Linked DNA regions of Lytechinus pictus. The protein of the gene in region 3 binds, or shares a complex with, the protein of the main gene of each other region. Links are inferred from orthologs where the notes say so. Each region holds a gene or a part of one and is shown on either strand. Other genes may lie near its edges. The genes, in order: DPY30 domain-containing protein 1-like, ropporin-1-like protein and nucleoside diphosphate kinase homolog 5-like.

Region 1 (11,238 bases), about 11 Mb from region 3:
AATCCTAGCACTATTTATACTCAAACTTTGGTGTTGTGACTATCTTGTGTTTGGTTTTCATAACCAAGCTTTGGTTCGAAAAATAGAGCTAACTGCAATGTTGATAGCCCAACACCTTTGACATTAATCCAATAACCTGTTACACTCAAAGTTGGGTTTTGTTCTTGGTGTTCTATTTTCTCCGATGCCAACACTAGCATTCAACACCATACTTGAAGCTATCCACCATCCACAGTTGGGTGTTCTTACCTCTTTGGCTTCTCTCTCTTCTTGTGCTAATCTTTCTGCTTCTAATCTCATCTTCTCTTGTCTCTCCTTCTCTTTCTCTGCCTCTATCCTTTCCTCTTCCAGTCTTACAGCTAAGTCTGCTTGCTGCAAATTAAGAAAGAAAAATCAAGTCTAAAGTTTGGTTAAAGTGTCAATTGTGAATTGTACTGAGGTATCATCTCGGTTGTCTAATCTAACAAACATCTAGTTATGGCCTTTGAATATTTTCTGTCCAACCATTATGCTGCAGTCACATTTCCCCTACGGCTGCCATACGGCAAGAAGAAAACAGCTGTTTAAGCATTTTTTAATATCAACTATATGAAGGTGGTTTGAATCAAATTAGATGAAACGGCAATTTTTGACTAGCCGTAAGGCGGCCACAGGGGGAATCATGTGACTGCAGCATTAGTCTTTGTGAAAATTTAAAAGGTATCTGGCACCCTCTTTCAGTATTAATTGAATTTTCTTTTTCAAAATCCTTTTGGGCCCTTATCATATTGCAGGCATATGGGCTGTCATGTTGTCAGATCACAAGGTCTATTTCCAAGTTTCACATATAATAAATCACTGAAATAACAGTCACTAGACCTATACTTACAAATTTTTACACATAAGATTTTATGTTTAGCAAAACTATTTTTTAAAAAGCTTCAATATGTGTTGTCTGTCAGAATGCGCAATTTACATACCGTAATTTCTTTAACATAAATACAAACAATAAATGTTTCCATACCTCATTTGCATAGATTTCATTCTCCTTGTATTTATAGAGCCATTGTGCTATGTATTCAATAGGGTCAAGCGGTCTTTTCTCGGCTACCTCTGCCAGCGCTCTTGTAAGGCAATCTCCGAGATGTTTCTTTAGGTATTCTGTATCCATGTCTGAAGATGACTTAAACTCTGTAAAGGAGAGAAAAAGAAGTGGGATTTAGATCCAACAGTAACAACAACACTCATAATATTACTGAAAAGGTTTTCAGAAATCTGTGTAGAGACGGGCACTAATTTGAACACTTCCTTTAATCTAGATTGTATGCTGTGTGAACACCGCCCCTACTATGACTATAGACATTCCCCTCTCTTGGATACAAGTATGTTAATGACAATGCATCCCTTTCTATTAACATTATGTAAGTCTTAAGCTGCTGCATTGGGCAATTTATAGGGGTCTATTGTAATGTCATGCCTTGCTCACTGATGCTTGGCAGTGACATAGCAGTAACTCCTAGTCAGGCACAGGGTATAAATAGGAGACACAGTTTAGGTAGAGAGTGGTTGTTTGAGTTTGCTTCTAATGGATCCATCGCTGAAAGAGTATATGACCTGGCCTGTGGACATGACATACCCCGGCAGTATACATCCTCCAGCTAGGATCGAACAGAGCGCTCTGCAACGGTACCTTTGCATCGCTTCCGAGCTTCAACCAGGCCATCGAAGTACTCCATGATCCATTATTAAGGTTAGACTTAGTAGTTAGTAGTTTATAGCGTAAGTTAGGCCACGATACAACATCTGGGGGGCGTTTCATCAACATTTTTGTCCGACAAGTTGTCAGATCTGACAACTTTTCTGGATTTTGATTGGCTGAGAAGCACTGTTACTATGGTAACTGTCGGATAAAATGGGAGTTGTCGGATAAAACATCTGTCAAGTCCTTTCATGAAACGCTCCCCTGCTTAACTAGTCTGAAACAATAACTTTGGGCATCTAGATCTTAGATGGTTTACTTGCTGTGGTTGTCTTGCTTGCACTTAGACTCTCGATTGATCTGTTTTTTGTTTTTTTTGTAACTATTGTATTTCGTTGCAATTTTGTTGCTGAATATTAATTAAAACAATTCACAGATGGGGAAGAAAGAAGTGACTTTGTAATTATGGAGAGTACAGCGTGAATTCAAGATCCCGCGAATATGTTTTGAAGCCGCCAAGCATGAATTATTAATCCTGCGAAAATAACAGCGTTTACAGTAAATGGGCTAGAACTTAATTTCCGACATTTATATAATATCCATTTTATTTTTAAACAAATATTCATTAAGAAATTTCTAGAAATATATTTGAGAAGACAGGAAAAAACTTGCCGACATCTATGTAGCCAAATCTTGCTTTCTTTGTTAGTAGCTAAGCTATGAGACACCTAAAGAGGGCGGCAGACTCTATTTGCAGCTTAGCTACTAACAAGAAAGCAACATGGCTATGTAAACATTGGCAAGTTTTTTCCCCATCTTCTAAAAATATATTTCTCGTTTTTATTTAATGAACATTTGTTTAAAAATGAAATTGATATTCTATAAATGTGGAAAATGAAGTTCTAGCCCATTTTCATGATTTAGGGTTAGATCTTTCACAGGGAAAGTACTTAGTAGAAATCTAGTCCAGTCCGTACTCACCATCGGTACAGAGAGCTCTAAAAGTCGCATTGCGTAAAAATCACAATTTACCGATAAAAGTGTACAGTTCAATTGACATTTACCGGACAAAGATGGTGGAACTAGAAAACCGAATCAGTTGGAACAGCCCCGTGTGCCCGACAGTTTATTATTTTTTCCGACAGTCTGCAGTCCAGTTTTTGTTTTCCCCTTTCTCTTAAACTCTTTCTTCTTTTTCCCCTTCCCCCTTTTTTTCTCTTTCCTTTTTCCTCTTCTTTTTTCTTTCCCTTTTTTCGCTTCCTTTTTTTTTTGCTTTGTGACTCGTCAGGGGGGGGGGAGAGTCTGCCCCTGCCCCCCCTTAGGTACGCTAGTGACCATACTGCATGCTCGCATAGTACGTGTGCATGTGGTAGTTAACTTTACTGAATGCACGAAGCCATATCGTAGATTAATAATCTATCATTAGGCCCTCTCATTAAGTTTGTTTGACATGCTGTACTTTATTTCTGAGCTCTACAGAATTTCTGTGCTCTACAGAATTTCTGACATAAATTATGTGTTCTCTATTTTTGACGAGCTCGCGCTATTCGCGATGGACTATAATTCAGTCATTTTGTTTACTTTTGCGGTTGTCTGTATTTCTGTTGTTGTTTATGTTTCTGAAGTTTTCTTTAATTCTGAGGTTGTCTATATTTATGAGGTTGTCTTTATTTCTCTGATGGCTGCCTATATTTCTGAAAATGTCTTTATTTCTCAAACCGTTAATTTGGGCACTTTTGGCCGCCCATAGGGACTGTGTCTGTGTTCTCTTCCCGGAGTAGAGCAAAAGCTTCGGTCTCTGTTATGTTAGTTGTTCCACTGAACTCCGTTGGCTCCACTCACCAAATACAGAGACCGAAGTTCTAGCTCGATCTGTACAGGGGACTCATGGCCATATGTTTACATGTATGTTTTACTATGTATTAAGTTCGGATAAAACAGGTAGGGCCTAAGTGAAGTTGCGCACTTGCGCGAGAGCGGAAGTAAGTCACTGTTTTTTCCCCTTTTGAGTTTATTTTTCCCCGTTTTGGTGCATTACAGGCCAAAACGGAATATTAATCTTTAATTTGGTACCGTAGATTTAGTTCTTTTTATATAATTTTATGAAATAAAATTAAATGAAATAAATTTTATGAAATAAAATTAAAGACAAAAATCGACGAGCCCCGTCTGGGGGGATTTTGCATTGTTAACCCCCTAAATGGTGGCTGCACGATAGAGAGCTGTCTGTGTAAGAGGAGAAATTTAAAAAAAAAAATTAATGTTAAAAAACTCGAAACAGACGGCTGCCTGTGCCAGCTGTCTTACTCTGACTCTCTGTCGTATTAGTGTCTATTCCCGCGGAATTTGGAAACATGTCACATTGATCTGTTGATACTGATACTGATAGACCATCAACTCGGTTGCCTGGGTTAGTACCTACATCATGTACATGTAACTAGCCGTCTCACATTAGGGCTTAGCATAGGCCTAGATCTAATTCTAGATTACTCTAGTCTAGACAATTATCTCAGTCATATTTATCGAACGATGGATTGAACTAGACTCGACGATCGACAGGCTTCAAGTCAACCTTACACAAAACTGCGCATATGGGGCCGAGTAACGAATGCTTTATTTTGATGTTCCGGTATAAGAACCGTCTACAATAAAATAATTTACACTTTTTATAAAATGAAAACACTTACAATCAAAACAATATATTTCACAGTTTTATGATAGCTTCCCTTTGATATAATCACTTCTAAGATGGAATTATGGTTTGATTTATATTCCGTTGCCAAGACAAAACAATTTCTGTAATCACAACAACAATTACTCGTTTCCAACCAACGTAGAGGGCGGTATGTAAACATTGAAGCGGAATTCGAGACAAAATTGCTAGTAATTTATTGTTCTCGATGTAACCTTTCAATAATTTTTCCACTTTCGGTTTAAGGACGTTCCACAGTTAAAGTGAAATCCATGTCATTTTCACCAAACTTTGCACATAGATACTTTAGAACCTTAATATTCGAAATATGCAAAAATTAACATAGGTCCATGTGCTTGATTTTTTGCTATAGAGCTTCAAAGTTCACCCAAATTGATGTTCTTAAAAATTGCGCATTCAAAAGAATTTGGCATTTTTAGACCACCCAAGATTACTACAATGAGTTTAAACCTCTATTACTCAGTCAAAATACATGAAAAAGTCATCAAATTTCGCAAGAGAGTTAATAATTGTATCGTTAGAATGGAGAATCTATTTATAGTGCTATTTGTTTGCAATTTTAAGTTTAACAGCACTGCCATTTCTTAAAAATTGCATAAAAGATAACAAAATCCCAATCTAAAAAATGTGAAATTTCAGTTACAAACTACAAACGTACAATAAATGCTGCACTTTATTCAAAATCCATGTCATTTTCACCAAAATTTGCAGAGTTGTAGAAGAAGGTATACCTAAGCGGTACAAACATTAAAAAATAGGGGTTCATGTGCTTGTTTTTAAACTATCATCATTTTTATTAGAGCAAATGTGCTTTTTAAAACACCAAAAATGCGCCGAATGCGTTGTATCTATGTGAAGAAAAAATCAAAACCACTCTACCATTTATTCAAACTCGGGGTAATATTCGTGATTCTTGGCAGCACTGCAGAGTAAAGTATTTTGAAATTGTAGAGAATGTTTTTTTGAATGGTCCATGGAATAATTCCACTTTATAGCTTCATGAAATAACACATCGGATCTGCAGTTAAAGTGCAGAAGATGAGAAAAATCAGCTCATACCCGCAGCTAATTAATCACCTGTTCATCCATTGTGACGTCAGCGCGCAGAGTGTAAACTATGCGCAGATCATAATGCGCACAAACATAACTGTGGAACGTCCTTAATATAATTTTAACGATGAATTTAAACTAGTCAGGGGCGAATCCAGCTTTCGCCGAAAAGGGGCCCAACATTTTGTTGACCTATATTACCCCGATTGGCCGCTCAAAGAGACTTTTGTTTATTTCTCTGTAGGGGTAGTCCTAACAGACACTTCTTAATTAGCTTTATTCTTATTAAACAACATACTAGTAATCTCATAAGCCCTACTTGAAGCGCGAGCAAAAAATTTATATCGTGATATGAAAAAGATTTTTCGAATTTTCCAGTCTTCCCCTCACCTTATTTTATTCACTAGCTTCCTCCTCTTATTTTTCCTTTTCTCGGCCTCCCCCTTTCTTTCCCCTTCTTTCTTCTTTTTTTTGCTCAGCCAGTGGGGGGCTGGATCCGCCTATGGTAGAGCATCTCCGGCCCTCACGGCTTAACGAATGAGATTGAGGATCTTGTCTCCTTGTCTTCTCGTCCTAAATAGGTCGACTTGACGAGATTGAGGATCTTGTCTTCTCATCTGCTCGTCCTGAGTCGACTTCAGTTGACGAGATCAGTCTTCTCATCCTAAATAAGTCGACATGACGAGATAATGTATCTTGTCTTCTTGTCTATATTCGCGCTTAATTAAGTAGACTTGACAAGATTGAGGATCTCGTTTTTTGTCTTCTTTCCTCGTCTTCTTGTCATCTTTTCACGTCTTCTCATCTAGTTTTCTGGGGGCACGTCTAACCTTCCGACGTATAGTAGCTCCATGTATCCGTTTGCGTGATGCGGATTGGCTCGAATTGGCTCCAATCACCAACAAACTTCAAGTTTCATGTTTAACTCCCGGTTACTTTGTGTATATAATTTTCTTTCTTCCCCCCCCCCCCATGATTTCGATTCTTTTACATAGCGTGTAGTTTGTCTTTTTAATTAATCCTTCATTGTCAATGTTTCATGATTGTTATATGTATTTTTGTATGTACAGGGCTCTCTCGAAAAACAGTGTATACTTTATGTAATGAAGAGACCACCCTATTTAGAATATAAATGAATACATTTGTTACTTTGCTTCTGTAATTATTTTGTAACTGTCGATGTTGATTTGTATATTTATTTTAAAAAAGCAACTATAGGCCTGATTATGTTTACTTATTGGAAACAATTTTTTCTTTTATGCTTATTGCTATTTAATGAAACCATTCCTTATCGCAGAAACCATACGAAACACTATGGATAGAGAAAGACAGTAAAAATCTAGGATAAACTGGAATATGTTCATGTTTATGTTTTACGTCAGGTGACATTATCTTTTTGAAATTTTCCCCTCTCTCCAACTATTAAGCGCATATATATAGTCCAGAGACGGTCTCATGTTTAGGCCAAGTACAAGACCTGGAAAAGTTGTTAAATACAAGTTTTTTTGTTGATTTGTAATCTAGATGGGTATTGAAGTAAATTCAGCTTAGTTGCCACCTTGGAAACCTTGAGCAATTTTTTAATTAGACTAATAAGCATAATCATCTAATTAGCATATATGTAATACGCTACTTCTCTTAAATCAGAAAGACTTTAAAAAAATAAATTATATCATTTTTCGAAGAAGTCCCGTGACGAGGAATCGATACATAATTTTTTTTAAATATTTAGGTTATGCAATTATCGTAATCAGCCAAATTAGCATAATGGGCTAATCAGCGTTTACAAGTGTACATACGTATTTATGGATGTCTATCGAGAAAACGCCCAATACGTATAGGTAATGCTGCTGCTGCAACCCTCCTATGGTTTTCTATGGCGAGGAATTCATTTATGACATTATTTTTCAATTTTAACCAATATAATAGCTGTAATTAACATAATTAGCATGCACTAATTAACATAATGTGTGATATGTAGATTTAATCGTCAAAGTGCTGTCTACAACGGCCTGAAAACATATATAATACAGCTCTTCTAATGATTTCGATGTTGATGAATTCATTTATGACAGTGATTTTCCCTTTTAACCAATGACAATGTCTTAATTAGAATAATTAACATAATGCATTAATTACCATAATGTGCAATATATACATGCATATGTATACATATATATATATATATATATTGTGAAAGAAATGGATGAAGAGAACATTGTATAGGCGTAGCTTAAATCAAGGTTCCCTAGAGCTATCTACCCTTTTGGAAAAAAAATGATATGTCGAATAATGTCTCTGCCGGGAATCGAACCCGGGCCCCCAGCTTTGATATATATAAATATATATATATATATATAATGTATTTCTTTGTCATTTTACATCGAGAATGCCCCAAAACATGAATAATACAACTATTCCATATGACGAGGAATTCATTTATTATTAGCATAATAAGCTTATTAACATATATGAACAATAAAATTACATATGAATATACATTCCTTTGTCATTATATATCAAGAATGCCCGAAAACATGAATAATACAGCTATCCTATGATTTTCTATGACGAGGAATTCTTTTGTGACATTATTTTTTTCAATTTTTTTTTATTTTGCCAAATGCGCTAATACATATGTGAAATATATATATTCCATTGTCATTTTATATTGAGAATGCCTCAAAGAAGTTAATACAGCTATCCTATGGTTTTCAATGATGATGATTTCTTTTGTGACATTATTTTTCCGATTTAACAAACATTATTGTTTTAATTAAGCATGATGTGCAAATTAACATATCTGAGCAATATAATTACCTATAAATATATATTCCTTTGTCATTTTATATCGAGAATGCCAAAAAACACTAATTATACGGCTATTTCATAGTTTTCTATGACAAGAAATTCATCTATAACATTATATTTCGCTTTTAACAATGTTAATGTTAAATTAGCGTAATGAGCTAATTAAAGTGGAACGAATCTGGCAGTCTCGCCTGCATTATGCGATTTTATATAGCAGCAATTTTGGCTATGAAAACAGCTATTGAATAAAATATTCACAATAGGAAACATTCATATTTCAATATTGACCCAAAATGGCATTTGACCATGATCATGTGACCTAACACGTTCATGTCCAAAACATTCATTCATACTTATGTATGTACCCTTATGTCTGTGTTTGATGAATTAGATCCATGAACTTTCTAAAGTTATGATGCCAAGTTAACGAATACCCCTAACACGGCCATAGTTCACAGACCTTAATGACCAATTTGATCTTGGTCATGTGACCTGATATGCGCACAGGATATTCAGGGATAGGCCTACATGGTTGCACTTATGTCGAAGTTTCATGAGCTACATGCAGATCCATAAACTTTTAAAGTGATGACAATTCCACAAATACTCCCAACATTACCAAAGTTGGTTGACCCAAATGACCTTTGGCCTTGACTGTGGTCATGTGACCTGAAACTTGCACATGATTTTCAGGGATATTAATTATGTCCAAGCTTCATGAACTAGATCGATATAAGTTTCAAGTTATGATGACAACTCCACAAATAGCCCCAACATGGCCAAAGTTCATTGACCCTAAGCGACTTTGACCTTGGTCGTGTGGCCTTAAACTCAGGCAGGATGTCATTACTTGATTATCCTTATGTCTAAGTTTCGTGAACTATGTCCATACACTTTCTAAGTTATGACGACATTTCAAAAACTTAACCTTGGTTAAATTTCAATGTTGACGACGCCGCCGTTGCCGCCGCTGTCGGAATAGCGGCGCCTATATAGTATCGTTTTGCTATGCAGGCGAGATAATAACTACAGTGACAAAGAAATAATTGCACTTATATTTTAATTACCACAAACCATAGGATAGCTGTATTTTCATGTTTTCAGGCACTCTTGATATAAACTAACAAAGGGATATATACTTATATATTGGATAAAGATGTTATTAGTGCGTTATTCTAATTAAGACATTGACATTTGTTAAAAAGGAAAATTATTGTCATAAATTAATTCCTCAACATAGAAAATATTAGAAGAACTATTATATGTTTTTAGGCCGATGTACACAGTACTTTGACAAAGAAATATATATATTGCAGACGTTAATTAGTGCATTATGCTAATTACGCTAATTACAACAATAACATTGGTTAAAAGGGAAAACTAATGTCACAAAAGAATTCTTCATCATAGAAAACTTTGGGATAGCTGTATTGTTTCGCATACATTCGTAATTCCGAAGCTTCGTTATTCCGAAGGTTCGTATTTCCGATGGTTCGTATTTCCGAAGGTTCGTTAGTCCGAAAACGAAATGAGGCTCGTAATTCCGAAGGTTCGTTAATCCGAAAAAGAGATGAGGTTCGTAATTCCGAAGGTTCGTTAGTCCGAAAACTAAATGATTAACTAACCTTATTTCGTTTTCGGACTAACGAACCTTCGGAACAACGAACCTTATTTCGTTTTTCGGATTAACGAACCTTCGGAACAACGAACCTTAGTTCGTTTTCGGATTATCGAACCTTCGGAAAAACGAACCTTCGGAATAACGCCGCAAATGTTCGGATTAACGAACCCTTTTACGTTTTCGGATTAACGAACATCGAGGTATAGGCAATTTACGTGTTTCGGAATTACGAACCTTCGGAATAAAGAACCTTCGGAATTACGAAGTGTAACCGTATTGTTTATGCTTTCGGGCATTCTCAACGTAAAATGACAAAGCAAAATATATATTACACAGCATATATGTTAATTAGCGCATTATGCAAATAATTATACTAAACAATTACATTGGTAAAAAAGGGAAAATATTGTCATAAATGTATTCCTCGTCATAAAAAAACCATGGGATATTTTGTCAAGTTTTCGGGCATTCTTGATATAAAATGACAAAGGAATATATATATTGCACATAATTAAAGTATTATACTAATTATGCTAATTACGACAATTACATCGGTATAAAGGGGAAAATAAGGTCATAAATGAATCCTCGTCATAGAAAACCATAGGATAGCTGTATTATTCATGTTTTCGGGCATTCTCGATATGAAATTGCAAAGGAATATATATTATCTTACACACATATATGGTAATTAGCGCAATAAGCTAATTATGCTAATTACAGCGATAACATTGGTTAAAATTGAAAAATAATATCATAAATGGATTCTTCGCCATAAAAACAAAACCATAGGAGGGCTACATTATCTAAATACTGGGCATTATTTTATTTCATTTCATTTCGTTTATTTCCATTTTCAACAAATACAGTTTATTTTGTACATTTTAACATATAAATAACAAAACATATTTCAAGTATTCCTGTACAAAAATTATATTCAAGATTATTACATATCAGGTTGGAAATGGAGGAGGCTGCTAAAAAGCGGAGCTTGTAGAGTGCAGCCTCCTAATAAATATTCTTGTAGTTGCATAGCATTAAAAATCAAAATAACAACTTGAGCATGAACCAGTTAAATTAAAAGGAAATAGGGGAAATTAAAATAGAAAAGGAAATAAGAAAAAGAGAGATTAAAGTCTCCAGAATCCAGCCCCAGCACTCACAGACGGACCTCGTTGATCAACATTATCTGGATAGACATCCACAAATACGTGTATGTTACACTTGTGCTTATTAGCTCATTATGTTAATTAGGCTGATTACGATAATTGCATAACTTAGATATTTAAATTATTGTTATGAATCGATTCCTCGTCACAGGACCGCTTAGAAAAATGATTTTATTTATGTTTTCATTCTTTCTGG
Region 2 (10,985 bases), on a different chromosome or scaffold from region 3:
TGCAGGTAGGTGAAGACGCCCTCTATCTGCTCTTCCGAGATCTCTCCGTCAATCTGAGCCAGGTACGTATAGAGCTCCTTGAAGAGGTCAAAGGGTATCCTCGCTGCACCGCCCTCTGGGTCCTTGGTCAAAATCTCACAGATGACCTTCATAGCAGAGGTGATGTTCTGGAGGTTAAAGGTCAAAGGTCACACAGAAATGAGTATGATAATCAGTGCATTCCAGCAAGGTGTAGCATATTTGTCTAACAAACAATTATACATTGTCCCACATGTACTTTTCTGTGCTGGTGATCTACAGTCTGAATGTTTTTTTAGATTTAACAATCAAATATAAAGTGCAACCTTGCAAACAGCAGTGATTTTTAAGCTTATAATGTGATCAGACTTTTCTGCTATAATTGTTCTGGCTCATGTGCGCTTTTTAAAGATAAAAGCTTCAACTTGGAGCTTCTAGGGAGTTTTACAGAGTTTGCAAGAGACTCGAGTTCCATTCCAAATCAAGCAAAGTCCCCAAATCAAGCTTAATGGGGTGTTACAAGAAAGCCGAGTTGCGACTGAATAAAAAATCTGTTATATTTTATTTATCAAAGGAACTGCGCTTGAATTGGAATTTAACTTTTTGAAGTTTTGTGAGACATCCAACTAGTTTACATTTACGATTAGAGAAAGGTTAGTCACAGAACATGGAAGATTGAAAAGGAACAATTGTTACAGAAGCATGACTTAAGATATCCCACTTTTAGCAATTAGCTTAATTGGATGAGCCTGTGCCTATGAATGTTTCAACAGAAATATGATGCAATATAAATGATGTGGATCATCATCATCTCATCATCAAAACAATTCCTTTTTGATGCATTACATCCAGCATGTCCTGAGGCTTAAAAAGAACAACAAAACTTACCCCTGCGAGAGCTGAGCAGGCAAGGGCAAAGAACTTTGGCCATTCGATCTCATCCCCGAAGCTACCAATCTGAATCAAGCTGAACATTCTCTCCTTAGGGAGACAGTTATCCTTCCATTTCTGTTCAAGTTCTTCCAGTGAGATTTTCTTCTTAGGACCAAGCTGAGGGATGAAAAAAACAAATCGTATGCAAATGTTATTATCATTTGTTTGGCATCACCTGTGCATGGGAGGCGAAAAGCGAACTGAATTACTGTGACCCGCAGGTCTCTCCTGATATAACTGATTGGGGGAGTGCAGGTGAACCACTACACTGGGTTTCGCCCTACTCTTATACCAATAGTGCAGTGGGTTTATAACATGCGAAGGTGGCAACTCTCCTCTACAGGGGGCCTCAATCTAATGCCCTATCCAAGAGACAGAATATTTTCCACTATAACACAGCCTGGATCTATGGAACAGTGGAGCTACATTCACAAACAACGCAGGCTTCAGTAATCCGCCCGGGGTGGACTCAAACCTACAACATTTGGTTCGACGGTCAGACCCTTTATCGACTGAGCTAACTTCGCTCTCATTTGTGTAGGTAAGAGGACAAACTATCAATTCTTTCGAGCATTTTCATGAAACATATATAGTCAATAGTCAATGATTTTCATTGACTACCTATTGTTATAGGTTTCTGAAATCCTTGCATCTGATTGGCTAAGAGCAAATAAATGAATATCACTGACAAAACCTTTCATGAAATACTCCCTAGCTGGAGCTACATGAATCTTTTCAAAGCAAAATTGAGGAAAGATCTCATATACATTGATATTGGCACAGAAGTGATCATTTGTCTTAGGCATCTACTGTAATCAAAAGAGATAGTTTGCTTTATATTTCATACTATTGAAAATGATTATATTAGAGAAACACAAAGGGGTATATCTATCTAAACAACTAAACTGATGCCAAATGGTCAGTGAAACTTCAATACCAATATGTCCAAGTTTAATGAACTAGGTCCATATACTTTGTGAGATATGACATTTAAACAACTTAACCTTGGTTAAGATTTGAATATTGATGACATTGCCATCTATAATGATTTTAAAAAAAATAGCCTTGGGAACATACCTGTCTGTTAAGCACTGAGAGGATTCCTGGTGTTAGTCCAGTGTCTGTTTTCTGTGTGGCCATGGGCATCTCAAGCCTTTCCTTCACTGGGGGTGTCTCCCCATTGGCAAGGGCATGAAAATATCTGCAAAATAGGAACACACAAATGTTTTTTTCATGCGGAAATCTAAGGGGAAAAGCTATCTGTAACAACAACTAAATATTCATAAATGAGGACAAGTCTATGAGGACAAAAGGCTGTATTCTAAGCTCTGGTTTTACTGAAAGTATGAATCAATTATCTCAGTCTTGCAAACCTTGTGGATACTGGGTAGCCAATAAATTAAAAGCTAAAAATCTTTTTAAGACACTGGGTAACGACAACGATTCCGGGTTAACTGCAATTTAAACTGGGTCAAAAGTGGGGCTGCCAAGAAAATAACTTTGGTTATTGCTCAGCAAAACAAACATTTTGGGAATTTTAGGCAAATGGTTTTCTGCTCACAATATGCTGTTTTTAAATTGAAAGAACTTAATTTCATAATTGTTACCCCATTTCAGAAGTACCCAGTTGTCGTATGTCAAGACAGGTTGTTTTAGAGGACAAGTCTACCCCAACAAACAGTTAATTTTTTATAATAAAAAGAGAAAAATCCAACAAGCATAACACTGAAAATTTCATCAAAATCAGATGTAAATTAAGAAAGTTATTAGATTTTAAAGTTTTGCATAATTTTACAAAACAGTTATATGCACATCCTGGTTTGTATGCAAATGAGGAGACTGATGACATCATCCACTCCTATTTCTTTTGTATGTTATCATATGAAATATTTTTATTTTCTCCTCATTGTCATTTGTCAAGTGAAAGAATGATTAATTCCTCCCTGAACATGAGGAGTTGGCCTTGTTTAATACTATATGGTTCAGTCAAGTTGGTCCTTATTGTCAAATCTGTAAAAAATAAAATATTGTATAATTCAAACAGTAAAAAACAAAAAAAATAGTGAGTGAGGGACATCATTGTTTGTCTCATTTGCATATATGTCACCGAGTTGTGCATATCAATCTTTTATGAAAAATAACAAAAGTTTAAAGTGTCATAACTTTCTTATTTTACATCCGATTTTGATGAAATTTTCAATGTTATGCAAGTTTGATTTTTCTCCATTTATTCAAATCAACATTTTTCTGTGATGGAGTTAATTGAGCATTAAATCCTGGGAACGTCGTGATTAATATTTCATAAATTGTTTGAAAGCAATGTAATGTAAGACAACATTACAAATATAAACTATTAGAATTATTTATATTAATGCATGCATGTCAAGAATTTACTGCTATAAAAAAATGACATCAATATAAGTATCCAGACACTGCCCCATCCTAAAATCCTGGGTCGGATTTCATAAAGAAATGTTATCAAAACATATGCACTTTTCCTGTAACAAATTTACTATTATATGGAAGGATTTCAGTATCTGTTGTTGCCCAAATTTTTCATAAAAATTTTTACGAAACAGGCCACTGATTTGGACTTACGCTGCTGACCACTGAAGGACATCAGCCGGCTGGGTCCTGATGGCAGACTTGGTGAACTGCTTCATGATATCAGGTAGGTCAGGGGGAATGTTTATCTGCTGTGAGCAGTACATAGGTACGTCATCACCTACTCCTGGCATCTTGATTCTTATTTTGCGAGTCTGTAGAATGAGAGAAAGGGGAATTTTTTTAATCAAGTGGGGAGGCTTGAGTCTTTGAGTAGGGTGTCTGAAGCCACACTGAAAAGTGTCAGCATAAAACAGGCTGATTTAGGGGAAAATATGGCACATTTTTTTCGGGGAAGTTCAGGCTACTAGAAAAATGTGATCTGAATTGATTATTAACTTGTGTTTGGCATGTATGGAAAGAGAAAATTCAGGGGCTTCTTTTGACAGTAAGGACAAGTTTATAGGATCATTTTAAATAAGGATTTAGAGATAAATTGCAAACCCTTATTTTTGTGTGTGTTGAGATTGCCATTTCTCCATGCGTTTTCTATGGGAAAATGAAATTTCTGTTTTGCACAATTTTTTTCACTTTGTCGCAATTTTTCATTGTGATCTGGTTTCCAAATCTTTATAAAAATCATACCATCAGATAGAGCATAAAAAATCCTATTGGACTCTTTATGGACAAGTTTTTGGCATTAATAATAAATTTATAACAGCTCTCGGAAGCTAAAAATTCGGATTTGTGTGTGTCCATTTCTTAACTACACAGTCTATGGCAGAGAAATGCTGAAAATTTACCTAATTTCATTCTTCTTTTTTGCATCCAATAATTTGATTTTTTTCAAAAATGTTACATTTCTGTCAGTCTGAAGGTCATTTCCCCTCAAATTCACAAAGAAAATGTGATATTTTCTTGAAATAAGAAAAATATTTTTTTTCTCCAGACACCCTACTTTGAGAAATGGGAAGAAAAAGAGAAAGTAAAAAAGGAATAGATCTAGGTGCAGGAGGAAGATAAATAAAATGGACAAGAACAAGACTGGAGAGGTAAAAAAGATTTGCATGACGAAAGAGAACAAGGGGGAGAAGAGCCAACTCATTTTGCAATTTTCTCTCTTTCTTTTCTGTTTCTCACATCTCTGTTCTTGAGAGTGAGACGTTTTACTTTTAGTTTAGACGTCGAACTCCACTGACTCACGACCAGATTTTGTCATGAATTAACTCACCAACACAACAAACATAAGAATCGTTAAAGATACATATGAATATCACTTAGTCTTAACTTACATTTTACAAGAGAAAAACAAACCGACACAATAGAAATCATTCTGGGTCAAAAATCCAACACGAAATTCTATGTATGGGACTACACAAATAAATTTACTCGAAACTGGGAAAACTAATCACACATAAAATGCAACTTTTTGCAATAAAGCAAACATACAGAAACCTAGGAATGAGAAGACTTATTATTTCTTACTATTTTTAGAACAAATTCCTAAAATATACTTACGTGACGGAAGAAATATGTAGGATTCTAGATTGGAAAAAGATTCTTGATTGACCAGCGTTGACAAGGCAACATAGAATTTCACGCATGCGCAGAATCGTCAGTGTCTCAAACTTTTTCTTTTCGATCTAAAAAGTATCTCGCCGCCGCGCGCCCACGGATATTTTTCCGTGGCTAATGGACAAAATAAGTATCGGAAGGGGGGGGGTGTTGGGCAGGGCGACTTTGAAAATAGTAAAAAGAGAAGGGAGAAGAAAAAAAGGGGGGGAAGGAATTGCGTGGGCTTGGTCATATAGGCCTGCAAAATTAATATATTTTAATGAACTTCAACTGAAAATTAAATCATCGCCCCCAAACTAACCCTAATGCGCCCCCCGGGAGGAAGCTAGATCCTACAAAATATGTTTGTCGGGAGGCCGGCCGGGTGCAGAAAATGTGAACGGGGCAAAACTGAAGATTGGTGCAATAAACAGAACGGTCTTATTTTCTGTAATAATTTTCGTCCTAAATTAAAGGACAAGTCCACCCAAACAAAAAGTTGATTAAAAAAAAGAGAAAAATCCAACAAGCATAACGCTAAAATTTCATCGAAATCGGATGTAAAATAAGAAAGTTATGATATTTTAAAGTTTTGCTTAATATATCACAAAACAGTTATATGCACATCCTGGCGGGTATGCAAAAGAGGAGACTGATGACGTCATCCACTCACTATTTCTTTTGTATTTTATTATATGAAATAGGGAATATTCTATTTTTTCTCCTTATTGTCAAGTGAAACAACGATTAATTCCTTCCTGAACATGTTGAACGAGCATTGTTTAATACTATATGATTCAGTCAAGTTGGTCCTTATTGTCAAATCAATAAAAAATGAAATATTGTATAATTCAAACAATAAAAAACAAAAGAAATAGTAAGTGAGGGACATCATCGACTTTCTCATTTGGGTTGTGCATATCACTGTTTTGTGAAAAATAAGCAAAACTTTAAAGTGTCATAACTTTCTTTTTTTACATCAAATTTTGATGAAATTTCCAGTTTTTTGCTAGTTTGATTTTTCTCTATTTATTCAAATCAACATTTTTCTGGGGTGGACATGACCTTTAATAGCAATATTGATCTGTTTACTTATGCATATAAAGATGGTGTGGGAAAGCACCATCTTTCTCCATATTTTCTATTCTCCGTTTTTATTTTTTATAAATATATTGATTTAGCACTGAATATGGCTTTCTTAACATATTAATTATAATTATTGCCATTATTATTGTGACATTCTTTTGAACATTTGGTAGGCAAATGTTTTTTAAGGCTTGACTTTGTCTGAGTCAGTGCATAATAGGCAGGAATGGTGCTAAAATGGGGCAGAGCACATGTGACTACCCAACTTATACATAGAGGAGAAAAATAAGAAAAAAAGAATGAAATGAATGAATAAATAAATGATAATAATAACAATAATAATAATAATAAAAATTAGAAGAAGAAGAAGAAAAGAGGGTATGTTTAATTATATAATTTTATTGTTGAAAAAAAATAGACGCTCCCATTTAGTAGGTTTGCCCTTCCCCGATAAATAAATTTAAAACAACTATGATGGAAATCTTGGTTTGGTCTATAATGTCCATATAAACCCATCCTGTCTTCCCCTCACCTCTCTGGCCGATCCCCCTCTCACACTCTCCCTCTCTCTCTCTTTTCTAACCTCCCCCCCCCCCTCCTCTCTTTCTATTCATCCGCCCTCTCTCCCTCGCTCTTATTTTAACTCTATCTCTCACTTTTCTCTGTTCTAACCTTTCCCTCTCTCATTTTTTCCCCGACCTCTCTCACGGACACACCCATCCTCACATGCACATTCTAATATCCCCCTTTCTAACCTTCTCCCCCCCCTCTCTCTCTCTTCCTCGCCCCTCACTCTCCCTGTCTGTCTGTTTATCTCTCACCTTTTGTAACCTTTCCCTCTCTCTCTCCCCCGCCCCCTACTCTCTCTCTCACTCTTCCTGTCTGTCTGTTTATCTCTCCCCTTTTGTAACCTTTCCCTAGCTCTCCCCCTCTCTTCCTTGGTCCTCTCCTTCTCTCCCCTCTCTCTCTTTCTCTCCCTCTCTCACATTCTTTCTGTCTCTGTCAACCTGTCGCCCCCTTTTCTCCTTTCAATTCAATTCAATTCAATTTATTTTCCACATCTTGAGTAAAAAAAAATATATTAGTACAAACAAAATACATACATACAAATATAAATAGTTACAATATAAAGACATAAGAAAATCAAAATGTGAATGGGATTGAAAAATGCCATATTGATCGATCAACGTCAACCCCAATGAGAAAATAAATGAAAATAGATAATCTAAAAATATAGTCACAATTCAATCATTATCATAAAAATTATGTTTTTATTTGCACAAAACATGGCATACATTAAAGGAAGGGGGGATCGACTTTACAAAGTGTCGGAAAGTGTACAGTAAAAACAAATTAATTTTCATTGTAGAAATGGTCTTATAGGGGATTTTTTTAAATTTAGATTCACAATAACCAGCATACTTAATTCGTAAAAATTATACTTTATTATCTTATTGCTCGAATATCATCTCCTAATTTCAAATCTGACAGAGTAGAACGAGATTTACGACCAGCAGACGACATATGCTACAGGAAATTGCCTTATGGTAAATGCTTTTTCCACCATGCATGACAGTTGCCAGAAGGAGCAGAGCTTTCGCCCAATAATTGGTGGTTAGTGATGTTTTACCTGATTGCCAAGAAATTAGCATAATGCTTGTAAGCAAGTAATCAGAGGACCGACGGCTTAAGGTCTACCGGCGATCGAGGGACCTGGTAATGAGGATTATATAGGCCTAATTTCTCGATGGTAAACCTATTTCATTTTCCCCAATGACGGGCCAATATATATCTCTTTTATAGGCATTTCCGAAGCTTTTCCTAAAGTCTGGTATCAGAAAATTATTCCATGAAAGCTCGTGACACCCGGATCTGACTATAACCGGAAATCCAAACCCTGACGATTCGATGGTTGTTGTATCCATGGTGATTTGTCCTCACCGAAGATCCTCAACCGAATGAATAGCAGCATACGAGTCCCGATGAGGTTTATAACCTTTCCCGTTCTCCTCGTAAATATGATACAACTTCAAAAACCTAGTCGCATCTTCGTACCCGTCCGCAAAATAGGTCTCAAGATAGGCCTTTGGGGGCGGGAAAAGCCCATCCCCAATCCGGTACATCTGCAGCGCGCTGATGTCGAACCGCTGACCGGTTGTGTCCACCCAACCGCAAGCGATCTTGTCCCGCATCCGGAGGCGGTTTTTCGGATTTGGCGAGATCTTGATCAGATTGCCTGATGGGAATTGAAAGGTCACGTCGGTAGAGAGGTTCTCCTTCCGGGACAGGGTGACGTCACCAAGGAACTGCAAGGGGGAGGGGTAATACAGTTGAACACGCAAAAAACTATTAGTCAACTGACGGGTCCAGATATGATGAAAAGTTAATTCCTTACAATAGATTAAGCAAAATGAAAAAACAAATCTTTAACAATATGGAGGTGGGGGGGGGTTGAACCTTGAGTTTATCAGAGCAACATGATACTTAACATTCAATTTTCAAAACTATCAAATCGATATTATTTGCTGTGGAGTTCTTCTTTTATTTCTTGGGTTGGAGGTGTTTGTCAATATATCGCCCCGTTGTAAGAAATGACTTGAATTATCTAAAACAAAGAGGTGGTATTATAGCAATATGAGATGAAAGACAACTTTATCCCCCAAACGGGTGTCAAATGAGATCACTTGGATGCTGATAATAATAACAAGAGTTAAAAAAAAAAATCCTACCTTGCCGTCTATAGAGGGCGGTGTCCACGTTGTGAACCAAGGAACGAAGACACTCCCAAGGATAACCTGTAACGAAATAAAATAAACAAAAGCAAACGTTTAAAAAGATGTTAAATGCCTATATTCACTACTGTATTATACGAAACAAGCAGGTGCTCGATTAGTGAGAGATAACGATAACGATAAATTTTTTTCAAGGAAGAAAGAGCGAGGAAAAAAATATATAGTAGGAATTGATATATCAGTGTAGATGATCCAGGAATTATGACAGGGAGGGGGCACTTTTTCCCCTCCCCACCCCATCCAAAAAATGACAACAACAAATTAAATGTTATCAGCATTTTCACGTTATGATCACTTTGAAAAGAAGAAAAAAAAATGTTTAAGGGACACATGCCCCCATTTTAACAGGAACCACGCCTGGGTTCAAGACTATATTTTCTTTCCCAATTCAAACATGATACAAAGGACCATAAACCAAATACAAATTCACGAATGAACATTATTACACACAAAAAAATAATTATTGGACTTTGCAAGAAGAATTGAAGACGATAAGGTATATTTTTAAAAAGGTAGTATGCTTGTAAAGTGTGGATCCCCTTGAAAAATGAAAGAATAAATAATTGGTTACTTGTGTTGTTACGATACCGCAACATATAACAATGAAAATGTAGTTTCAAATTTGATTTCCTTTTTTTTATTACAGGAAATAATTAACCATACACTCTCTCAAAATAACTGCAAACAATTCATTGATGGCGTGCAGATAATTCCATAGAAGATAAATGTTATATTCCAGTTGGAAATAAACTATACTCCGACATAAAGTCTGGTGTGAAACTCTGAGTTCTGATCTGATGTGATGATGTCCTTGAAGAAACTGTCAGCTTATATACAAATTCACTATTCTGGAAGCTTCTAGTATTGTCTATAAAAAGAACATTCTGCGAATTTCTAGAGCAGTCTAATTTTAGACTCTTGAATGACCTCAGTGAAATTAACAATGTAAACAACATAGCTAATCCTATTGTCCTTTTCACTGCAGGCCGCCTAATGTCTATCTTAATACATTCCAGTAATAACAAAGATTATTCTATCTCATTAAATAGCATGCCTAACAAAGCTTCACTGAGACATTCTGGAATATTCTTAATCATTATATGCTATGAATATCCTTAAAGAGGAAATAGCTAAATAAATTAATGTAATTGCTCTTACAATTCTTATATATAACAGTGTATAAGGAAAAGAAAAAGAGAGAATTTGAAAGGGGAAATATCAGATCTATATGAAATGGAATATTTAAGTGGGTATAGGGAGATCTAAATGAAATTCGGAGACATAAGAGGAATTATCACTTACTTCAATGAGCTCTTCTCTGGTACTATAACTTGAGATCTGAACCTCGGACCCTAAGCTCCAAACCCGATCACCAACCTCAAATACTTTCGGTCCCTTGGTTCTCACGCACGAGCTCGTCCCTTGATCGACGTCATGAACGGTCAGCGGGTCGTACTTATCGACCAATCGCAGCTCGGTGGCCTGGATGAATAATTTATGAGATGCTAATTCGTGTGCGTTCATTGGTAGAAGCTGGGTAAGGAGCGCGCGCAGACGACCAATTAAATCAAAGCCTGGTGTGATGGCACCGTATGGGAGAGACGAAATATCGTCGACGATACTGTATAGGCCACAGAGTAAATCCTAAGTGAGAAAAAAAACACGAAATAATGAATCAATCTAGTATACATAGTATAAGTAAAATTACATATTAAAACGGCAAAATCTAACGACAAAGTTCTAATATTTTCGTCAAAAAATAAAGAAAATGAAGATGGTTGACGAACAGAATTCGAATTCTGAATATTAAGGCCTCTATTGATTAATAAAATCTAACAAAAATGCAAAGTGATTTTTTTTTTTAAGTGGTAAACGAAATAAGGGAAGTGAGGAGAGGGAATGGGTAGAGGGTGAGAAAAAAGGGACAGAATGGGAGGTAGAATGATAGGCCTACACATTTGGGAAAATGATTTTATTAGTCAAAGTTTTAATAAGTTGTGGAAAGTGAATATAAAACCGGAACGGAAGGGGGGGGGGATCTTGCCCTTAGTAAATTTA
Region 3 (11,020 bases):
GGGTACTCCTGGCTGAAAATGATATGATTTGAACAAAGAAAACATTAAAAATTTGATCAAAATCGGATAAGGAATAACAAAATTATCGCTGCATTTTAAAGAATGATTTGCATTATTCTGGTGAAACAGGTCTGGCGTGTCTACATGGATATTCAATAAGCAAGCTTATGATGTCACATCCTCACTTTTATTATATGAAATTAGATTGATTAATTTTTAAACGTTAAATTCAATAACCCCGCTATTTGATGTCAGATTTTAATGAAATAAGCACTTTGATATGTGAATGTTACTATATCAAAGTGCTTATTTCATTAAATATTTTCATTAAATATTTTCATCCCGGAGCATCCCTTTAAATGATTTATTTATTATTTCTGTTTTCTCAAGAAAGAGTGGTCTCTTTAATAAACAAGTGGAATGCCTCTGGCCGTCTCACCTGCATCACGCGATTCAATATAGCAGCAGTGCTGATTTTGAAAACTACTATAACTCGCACAAGATGTTCAGTGATACTTGGTTACTCTTATTTCCACGTTTTATGAACTAGACCAATACACTTAAATAGAGATATGATGGCAATTCAACAAATACCCCCAACGTGGCCAAAGTTCTTTGACCTTACATGACCTTTGACCTTGATCATGTGACCTGAAACTCGCACAGGATGTTCAGTGATACTTGATTACTATTATGTCCAAGTTTTATGAACTAGACCAACACACTTTCAAATTTATGGCTGTAATTCAACAAATACCCCAATTTGGCCAAAGTTCATTGACCCTAAATGACCTTTGACCTTGATCATGTGACCTGAAACTTGCACAGGATGTTCAGTAATACTTGATAACTATTATGTCCAAGTTTCATGAATCAGATCCATAAACTTTCAAAGTTATGATGGTAATTCAACAGATACCCCCAATTCGGCCAAAGTTCATTGACCCTAAATGACCTTTGACCTTGGTCATGTGACGTGAAACTCATGCAGGATGTTCAGTGATACTTGATTAACCTTATGTATAAGTTTCATGAACTAGGTCCATATATTTTCTAAGTTATGATGACATTTCAAAAACTTAACCTTAGGTTAAGATTTTGATGTTGATTCCCCCAACATGGTCTAAGTTCATTGACCCTAAATGACCTTTGACCTTGGTCATGTGACATGAAACTCAGGCAGGATGTTCAGTAATACTTGATTAACCTTATGGCCAAGTTTCATGAACTAGGTCCATATACTTTCTAAGTTATGCTGTCATTTCAAAAACTTAACCTCAGGTTAAGATTTGGTGTTGACGCCGCCGTCGCCGCCGCCGCCGCCGCCGTCGCCGTCGGAAAAGCGGCGCCTATAGTCTCACTCTGCTATGCAGGTGAGACAAAAAAACTGAGTTAAGTAGAGAGCCCTGTAATGATACAACAAGTGGAACGTCACTGGCAGTCTTACCTGACACCTGCATTACACGATTTAATATAGCAGCAGTGCCCGGGAGCAGTGCTGACTTTGAAAACTACAATAAAATAGTTATTCAAAATTAGTTATTCAACAAATACCCCCACATGGCCAAAGTTCATTGACATTGAATGACCTTTGACCTTGGTCATGTGACCTGAAACTCGCTGCAGGATGTTCAGTGATACTTGATTAATCTTATGTCCAAGTTTCATGAACTATGTCCAAATACTTTCTAAGTTATGCTGTCATTTCAGAAACTTATTCGGTTAAGATTTGATGTTGACGCTGCCGTCGGAAAAGCGGCGCCTATAGTCTCACTCTGCTATCCAGGTGAGACAAAAATCATGATACAGTGATGAAAAATAAAGTAAAATAAATTTAATAAAAAAGAAAAACCACATGCTATATAAAAGAAATGAAATTCAAAATCATAAATTCGTCATTTTTATTGAATGAAGAATTTAATTTATTGATAATTGGAAAAAATATTACCCCTATTTTCTTTCAATATAACCAAAATACGTGTAGGGCCTAGTGTGATTTTCATCACATAACATGATTTAGAACAAAAATCAAGCCATAATTTTGGGTTATCATGTGGGACGGAATCTTCATGACTGCATTCGTCGGACGGAATTTTTCTCTTAAATCCATCTCTGCCGGCTTTTCACCTTCCCTCTCCATCATCCTCATCCCTATCATCATCCTCGTCCCTATCATCATCCCCATGGGCGGAAATCTGTCCCCAGGGGGGACCTGGGGCTGGAAAATTTGACAAGCATTAAAAAAAAAGGTTATCGCCCAAAATGTAGGGTCATTTTATAACCCAAAAATAATTGACAAGAAAAAAAAGGGGGTTTTCACAAATATAAGGTCATTAATTTAGTCCTAAATACATGTATTATTTCAATTGTGAATGATGTATTATTTTGTTCTCCATCATACAAGAAGAAAAATAGTAGGGTGGACATTTGATATTGTGTCCCTTTACTATTTTTGGTAGGGGGACACGTCCCCCCCTGGGATTTCCTCCCATAATCATCCCCATCCCTCACACCCTTGTCCCTCTCACCATCTCCATGCACCCCTCTCATCAAGAGTCATCATCCCCATCCCTCTTATCATTGCCATCCCTCACCTCCTCGTCCCTCTCATCATCGAGGCCCATCCCTCATCATCGCCATCCCTCACATCCTCGTCCGTTTCATCATCCTCATCTCCATCTCTTTCATTACCTTTATCCCTCTCATCACCCCCCCCCCCTTCTCATTAAGAGTCATCAAAAATTATCATCCCTCTCATCATCACCATCTCTCACCTCCTCGTCCCTCTCATCATCAAGGCCCACCCCTCATCATCGCCATCCCTCACATCCTCGCCCCTCTCACCATCTCCAAAACTCGGCTCTCTACACCAGGGAAACTCAATATAAAAAATAAAAATGAAATTGGCATGCCCACACAGATACACCTAGAACATTTTCACATTTCGGGGGCAGGAGTGAAGAGGCTCCGAGCCCCCATCCACGTAAAAGTATTTTTTGTGCGACTCAAACATCCACACCACAGTCACACTCAAAGTCAAAGAAATTGAAGCATATTGATTATTACAACTTAAAACTCAGCTCTCTACACCAGGGACACTCAACATAAAAAAATAAAATAAAATGAAAAAAAAAATAGGCCTAAAAATAATCAATTTGAAGTTAAAAATTAAGCCCCCAAATAAACATTTATTATTGATGGCTACCCTCAGCCCGGCATACCCACACATCTACACTGCGAATATTTTTTCACATTTCGGGGGCAGGAGTGAAATCGCCCCGAGCCCCCACACTGATCGTAAAAGTATTTTTTGTGCGACTCAAACATCCACACCACAGTCACACTCAGTCAAAGAAATTGAAGTATATTAAATTATTATCTTAAAGCTCTACACCAGGGAAAATAAAAATAGAAAAAATAAAAAAAATATATAGGCTTATAAATATATACAAAAAAAAGGCAGAACCTATACGACACTGCCAAGCTTCAAGCTCTAGTTCACTCTCTCACTCAGTCAAGCTCAGCTCTTTGACTGCGCACGCCCACTTCCATTGGGGATTCGGGCTGAATCCCACCCCGCCAGTTTAGGCGGCCGAGCTACGTAGAATTGCGATGAAGAGCAGCGGACCGTTCATCGGTTGTTCGCTTCTTGCGACCAGAGAGAAAAGGTGAAAAACTTTAACAAAATCGTGCAAATGCACCAAATTTTATTCTTGTGATGAGAAAATGGAGTTAATGGAATACAAGAATGTCCATCTTCTGCGATAAAAGTGGTAACTTGAGGATAAATGATCACAAAATCAAGTCAGTTGTTGAGCGGGGCCGAGCCGAGCACCGACACAGTTAATACACGCGCGCCTATGGGAATCGCGAGCTGTCGAAAAACGCCTAAAATTACACTTTTTTTTTATTTCAGCGAAAAAAAAGTAATAGAAAGTGAAGAACATTAGTCATTACCATCAGACCATATCTCTAGAAAATCTTTACAAGAAATTACGAAATGACGGAAAAATAGACGCAGATTTGTGAAAAAAAAATCTCGTAATGGGTGGGACAACTCGGCCCGCGGTCCGAGATGTCCCGTGGTCCGAGTTGACCCGACAACTAAAGACAAGGAATAGGGGCCTAGGGCTATTCCTACCTAGAACTTAACTAGGTTAAGGCCTAGTTTAAAGAAACAAACTGAGTATTTGATGGAAAATTATTCGAAGAAGGTTTGTTAAATGCAATTCGACAAAACATGATTGAAGACAAACCAACAAAAGGACACACACAGTCACTCAGCTCAATCACGACACAGCAACCACAGGGAACATGACACATTCTGCAGTATCTGGGACTGTGATATTGATAATTTTACCTGCAAAATAGTGAAACCCGACTGCAGGATAATTTCCTCGATTTCGACTGCTCTGTCGATTGCATCTGGTTTTATAAGTGCAAGAGTCCTTTCTACATAGACCTGAGGAGGCTCCATCATTCTGTTCTCTATGTCGTTTTGAGGCATTTTGGTGATTTTTCAGAGAATATTAGCCCACGAAATCTCGATGTCAGCTGCTTCTGTTGCCAAGTAACAAAATATAAAGCGCCCTCTGCGTTCATTAAGTTCGAGGTGATTATCGTACAAGGACAAGGTTGATAGCATAGAGATATACTATAGTATCCCGTAATTAGTAACCAACTGGAATAAAATTATTGGAAATGGTTTTTTGACTGATTTGAGTAGGTATGGGTGTCAACATTTACCAAAAAAAAGTTAGGAGGAATACGGGTTGGGGAAAGTGCTTTTTTTCAAGGTCAAAGGTCGATGACCTTTTTAAATATACTGTATCATGGTATCTCCCAGATAAAATATTACAGGTTGGTGATCATAGTGTCAAAATGCACAGATTCTTACAAGAAGATCAAATAAAATCAAATCAAGTACCTACAATGCTCATTCACCCATGAAATTCAAGGTCAAAGCCTTTCAAAGTTCAATGACCTTTATTACATTATATACCTTATACGGTATAATGGTATCTCTGAGATGAAAAGGTGCAGGTTGGTGATCTAGGTGTCAAAATGCAGAGGTTCTTATAGGAAGATCAAATAAAATCAAATTAATTACCCAGAATGCACATTAAACAATAAAATTCAAGGTCAAAGCCTTTCAAAGGTCAATTACCTTTTTTCTACATTATATACCATATTCGGTATAATGCTATCTCTCAGATGAAAAGGCGCAGGTTGGTGATCTTGGTGTCAAAATGCACAGATTCTTACAGGAAGGTCAAATAAAATAAAATTAATCACCTAGAATGCATACTAACCCATAAAGTTCAAGGTCAAAGGTCAGTGACCTTTTTACATAGGCTATATATCGTATAAAGGTATCTTTGAGATAAAATGCTGCATGTTGGTGATTTTGATGTCAAAAAGCAATTTTTGCAAGAAGATAAAAAAAACTAAAATAATCATACAGAATTATCCAATATCCAAAGTCAAAGGTCAAAAGTTGATAAATATTTATATATCCATGCATGATTCCCCCAAAAAAGAAATTAATCCATTATATTCACATTTTATTTGTGAATAATAGAAAGAAAGATAACTATTTGTAATGAACATTTGGAAGTCTAATAATTTCACTCTGAAAGAAATAAGGATATAAAATGGCCATGGAAAATATATTTAGGAGTTAAAGGTCAATCAACTATGTCAATAGTGTCAGGGAATTTAAGTAAATAGGTCGATATAACGTGATTGTGGCACGTAGGTATAGTGATTCAGATGGGAAAAAGACTGACCTGCGTGGAAAAAGAACACAAATTTAATAGTTGAATCCTTGACCAATGATGATGTCAAAATACAAGTTCGAGGTAAAATTGGATCAAATAGCACTTTTTTTAATAATATACTGTAATGCATTGACAAAAGTGTAAAAAAAAGCATTTAGATATGCATTTTATAAATCTAAATCAAGGTACTAATTTCTCTGTAGCAATAGGTCACTAACCTCAAATGCTACAATCAATACTATAACACTATAACTTAATCTGTAAATGGAAAGGATAGGCCTAAGTCTTATGACAAGCATCATCCGAGAACATTTTCATATAGCCAGGGACAATGACGAAGAATTAAAATAAGGCAATCATTAGAGCTGCAGCTTTTTTTGTCATAGATGAAGTTAAGTGTCTCAACTTCAGCAAAGAGTAATTGAACTCTTGAAAACCTTCTGACATTTTCAAGACTTTGATCTGGCCCATTCAATGAAAGCCTAACGTTCTGTCAAGGGATATCAGACCAGGATCTATATTATTACTGATAATTGCACATCTTGATTCTCAAGAACTGGAAGTGGTGCTGTAGGAGTTTTGTTAGGTCGATGGATGTGTACTTGTAAGCTATTATCTCCTTTTGAATTGCATTGTTATATGCCACATTTGTACATGATAACAATCAGTTGTTCTGGACCAAAAACATGATCCTTGTACAAACTGATACCTAGTAGAAATAGCATCATGGGTGACGTACGGCAGAGAGCAGATATGAAGTTTTGTCTTGCAGCATTAGCATCACAAGATATTCTGGCAGCTCGCAATGAACTGATGAAAGATACTAATTATACGGGAATTCACCTTTGTTGAAGTTGATATATATATAATTTACTACATGTATATGACAGAAGCTGCAGCTCTAATGATGGCCTTCATTTCATCATCATCATCATCCCTCTGCTGTTTGGAAATGCTCTCAGAAGATGCTAGCTGTGACATGAGAGTTAGACCTGTCCTATCCATTTTCAGAAGATTAAGCTAATAGTTTATAGTATTTATTATAGCATTGATGTGAGTGGCCTATCGCTGGAGAGAAAAGACACGACAACATTGGTTTAGATATAATGATGCATTAAATGTTGCTACTTAAGATAAAAATCATTTCAAATTATATACTTGATTTCATTTATTTTTTCAGTGCTTTTGGCAATGCATCGCAGTATATGAAAAAGTGTTATTTGGTTATCAACTTTTTAAACTTAATTTCCACTGATATTTTGGAAAGGGCTCATTGACCTCTGACCCCTAAATACATTCTCCATGGCCTTCATTATTTCAGACCGAAATTATGAAACCTCCATGTTTTCATTACAAATTAGCCATGGTTATTTACATTATTCAGATATAAAATATGAACACAAAAGATATTGTTTTTGGTTATTTTTATATCATATAGATTATATATTTCCTCTGATCTAGGATTTCAAGGGTGAAAGTTTATTCTTTATACTTATTTTAGTGTTGTTTAATCTTCTTGTACAAGTCTTTGGATTTTGGCACCAAGATCACCAACCTGCGGTGTTTTATCTCAGAGATACCATTATTATTATCTAATGTTAAAAAGGACATTGACCTTTGTCCTTGAATTTTATGGGTGAATGTGCATTCTCGATGCATAATTTTATTTTATCTTCCTGTAAGAATATGCGTGTTTTGACACCAAGAACAGCTGCACCGTTTTACCTTAGAGATACATATGTAATATAAAAGGTCATTGACCTTTGGCCTTAAATTTTATGCGTGAATGTGCATTCTAGGTACTTAATTTTATTCCATTTGATCTTCTGGAAAGAATCTATGCATTTTGACACCATGATCACCAACCTGTGCTTTTTCATCTCAGGGATACCATTATACAGTATGGTATATAATGTAAATAGGTCATTGACCTTTGAAAAGCTTTGACCTTGAATTTTATTGGTGAATGTGCATTCTAGGTACTTAAGTTTATTTTATTTGATCTTCTTGTAAGAATCTGTACATTTTGATACCATGATCACCAGCATGTACCTTATCATCTCAGAGATACCATTATACGGTATGGTATATAATGTAAAAAAGGTCATTGACTTTTTGAAAGGCTTTGATCTTGAATTTTATTGGTGAATGTGCATTCTAGGTACTTAAGTTTATTCTATTTGATATTCTGGTAAGAATTTGTGCATTTTGACACCATTATCACCAACCTGCGCCTTTCCATCTCAGAGATACGAAAAGGTCATTGACCTTTGACCTTGAAAAAAAGCACTTTCCCCAACCCGTATTCCTCCTAACTTTTTTTTGGTAAATGTTGACACCCATACCTACTCAAATCAGTCAAAAAACCATTTCCAATAATTTTATTCCAGATTGGCTCTTTTGGGGTCTAATTTAGGGATACTAGTATCCCGTAATTAGTAACCAACTGGAATAAAATTATTGGAAATGGTTTTTTGACTGATTTGAGTAGGTATGGGTGTCAACATTTACCAAAAAAAAGTTAGGAGGAATACGGGTTGGGGAAAGTGCTTTTTTTCAAGGTCAAAGGTCGATGACCTTTTTAAATATACTGTATCATGGTATCTCCCAGATAAAATATTACAGGTTGGTGATCATAGTGTCAAAATGCACAGATTCTTACAAGAAGATCAAATAAAATCAAATCAAGTACCTACAATGCTCATTCACCCATGAAATTCAAGGTCAAAGCCTTTCAAAGTTCAATGACCTTTATTACATTATATACCTTATACGGTATAATGGTATCTCTGAGATGAAAAGGTGCAGGTTGGTGATCTAGGTGTCAAAATGCAGAGGTTCTTATAGGAAGATCAAATAAAATCAAATTAATTACCCAGAATGCACATTAAACAATAAAATTCAAGGTCAAAGCCTTTCAAAGGTCAATTACCTTTTTTCTACATTATATACCATATTCGGTATAATGCTATCTCTCAGATGAAAAGGCGCAGGTTGGTGATCTTGGTGTCAAAATGCACAGATTCTTACAGGAAGGTCAAATAAAATAAAATTAATCACCTAGAATGCATACTAACCCATAAAGTTCAAGGTCAAAGGTCAGTGACCTTTTTACATAGGCTATATATCGTATAAAGGTATCTTTGAGATAAAATGCTGCATGTTGGTGATTTTGATGTCAAAAAGCAATTTTTGCAAGAAGATAAAAAAAACTAAAATAATCATACAGAATTATCCAATATCCAAAGTCAAAGGTCAAAAGTTGATAAATATTTATATATCCATGCATGATTCCCCCAAAAAAGAAATTAATCCATTATATTCACATTTTATTTGTGAATAATAGAAAGAAAGATAACTATTTGTAATGAACATTTGGAAGTCTAATAATTTCACTCTGAAAGAAATAAGGATATAAAATGGCCATGGAAAATATATTTAGGAGTTAAAGGTCAATCAACTATGTCAATAGTGTCAGGGAATTTAAGTAAATAGGTCGATATAACGTGATTGTGGCACGTAGGTATAGTGATTCAGATGGGAAAAAGACTGACCTGCGTGGAAAAAGAACACAAATTTAATAGTTGAATCCTTGACCAATGATGATGTCAAAATACAAGTTCGAGGTAAAATTGGATCAAATAGCACTTTTTTTAATAATATACTGTAATGCATTGACAAAAGTGTAAAAAAAAGCATTTAGATATGCATTTTATAAATCTAAATCAAGGTACTAATTTCTCTGTAGCAATAGGTCACTAACCTCAAATGCTACAATCAATACTATAACACTATAACTTAATCTGTAAATGGAAAGGATAGGCCTAAGTCTTATGACAAGCATCATCCGAGAACATTTTCATATAGCCAGGGACAATGACGAAGAATTAAAATAAGGCAATCATTAGAGCTGCAGCTTTTTTTGTCATAGATGAAGTTAAGTGTCTCAACTTCAGCAAAGAGTAATTGAACTCTTGAAAACCTTCTGACATTTTCAAGACTTTGATCTGGCCCATTCAATGAAAGCCTAACGTTCTGTCAAGGGATATCAGACCAGGATCTATATTATTACTGATAATTGCACATCTTGATTCTCAAGAACTGGAAGTGGTGCTGTAGGAGTTTTGTTAGGTCGATGGATGTGTACTTGTAAGCTATTATCTCCTTTTGAATTGCATTGTTATATGCCACATTTGTACATGATAACAATCAGTTGTTCTGGACCAAAAACATGATCCTTGTACAAACTGATACCTAGTAGAAATAGCATCATGGGTGACGTACGGCAGAGAGCAGATATGAAGTTTTGTCTTGCAGCATTAGCATCACAAGATATTCTGGCAGCTCGCAATGAACTGATGAAAGATACTAATTATACGGGAATTCACCTTTGTTGAAGTTGATATATATATAATTTACTACATGTATATGACAGAAGCTGCAGCTCTAATGATGGCCTTCATTTCATCATCATCATCATCCCTCTGCTGTTTGGAAATGCTCTCAGAAGATGCTAGCTGTGACATGAGAGTTAGACCTGTCCTATCCATTTTCAGAAGATTAAGCTAATAGTTTATAGTATTTATTATAGCATTGATGTGAGTGGCCTATCGCTGGAGAGAAAAGACACGACAACATTGGTTTAGATATAATGATGCATTAAATGTTGCTACTTAAGATAAAAATCATTTCAAATTATATACTTGATTTCATTTATTTTTTCAGTGCTTTTGGCAATGCATCGCAGTATATGAAAAAGTGTTATTTGGTTATCAACTTTTTAAACTTAATTTCCACTGATATTTTGGAAAGGGCTCATTGACCTCTGACCCCTAAATACATTCTCCATGGCCTTCATTATTTCAGACCGAAATTATGAAACCTCCATGTTTTCATTACAAATTAGCCATGGTTATTTACATTATTCAGATATAAAATATGAACACAAAAGATATTGTTTTTGGTTATTTTTATATCATATAGATTATATATTTCCTCTGATCTAGGATTTCAAGGGTGAAAGTTTATTCTTTATACTTATTTTAGTGTTGTTTAATCTTCTTGTACAAGTCTTTGGATTTTGGCACCAAGATCACCAACCTGCGGTGTTTTATCTCAGAGATACCATTATTATTATCTAATGTTAAAAAGGACATTGACCTTTGTCCTTGAATTTTATGGGTGAATGTGCATTCTCGATGCATAATTTTATTTTATCTTCCTGTAAGAATATGCGTGTT

What was found.
Region 1: nucleoside diphosphate kinase homolog 5-like (region 3) and DPY30 domain-containing protein 1-like share a complex: the UniProt entries of both Homo sapiens proteins name them as parts of the axonemal radial spoke complex. The link is inferred for Lytechinus pictus from reciprocal best matches to the Homo sapiens genes NME5 and DYDC1.
Region 2: nucleoside diphosphate kinase homolog 5-like (region 3) and ropporin-1-like protein share a complex: the UniProt entries of both Homo sapiens proteins name them as parts of the axonemal radial spoke complex. The link is inferred for Lytechinus pictus from reciprocal best matches to the Homo sapiens genes NME5 and ROPN1L.

What each region holds. Positions count from the first base shown.
Region 1 is NC_087262.1:9,007,540-9,018,777, forward strand, and holds the start of DPY30 domain-containing protein 1-like, read right to left. Parts: upstream 4,528-11,238; 5' UTR 4,366-4,527; intron 1,171-4,365; 5' UTR 1,151-1,170; coding exon 1,004-1,150; intron 373-1,003; coding exon 250-372; intron 1-249. UniProt on the Homo sapiens protein: Functions as part of axonemal radial spoke complexes that play an important part in the motility of sperm and cilia. Plays a crucial role during acrosome biogenesis.
Region 2 is NC_087253.1:25,057,690-25,068,674, reverse strand, and holds the start of ropporin-1-like protein, read right to left. Parts: upstream 5,102-10,985; 5' UTR 5,014-5,101; intron 3,711-5,013; 5' UTR 3,690-3,710; coding exon 3,550-3,689; intron 2,153-3,549; coding exon 2,029-2,152; intron 1,069-2,028; coding exon 907-1,068; intron 168-906; coding exon 1-167. Other genes in the region: patatin-like phospholipase domain-containing protein 4, read right to left, coding at 8,073-8,441, 8,865-8,930, 10,230-10,571. UniProt on the Homo sapiens protein: Functions as part of axonemal radial spoke complexes that play an important part in the motility of sperm and cilia. Important for male fertility.
Region 3 is NC_087262.1:20,224,995-20,236,014, reverse strand, and holds the start of nucleoside diphosphate kinase homolog 5-like, read right to left. Parts: upstream 4,604-11,020; 5' UTR 4,508-4,603; coding exon 4,361-4,507; intron 1-4,360. UniProt on the Homo sapiens protein: Functions as part of axonemal radial spoke complexes that play an important part in the motility of sperm and cilia. Does not seem to have nucleoside diphosphate kinase (NDPK) activity.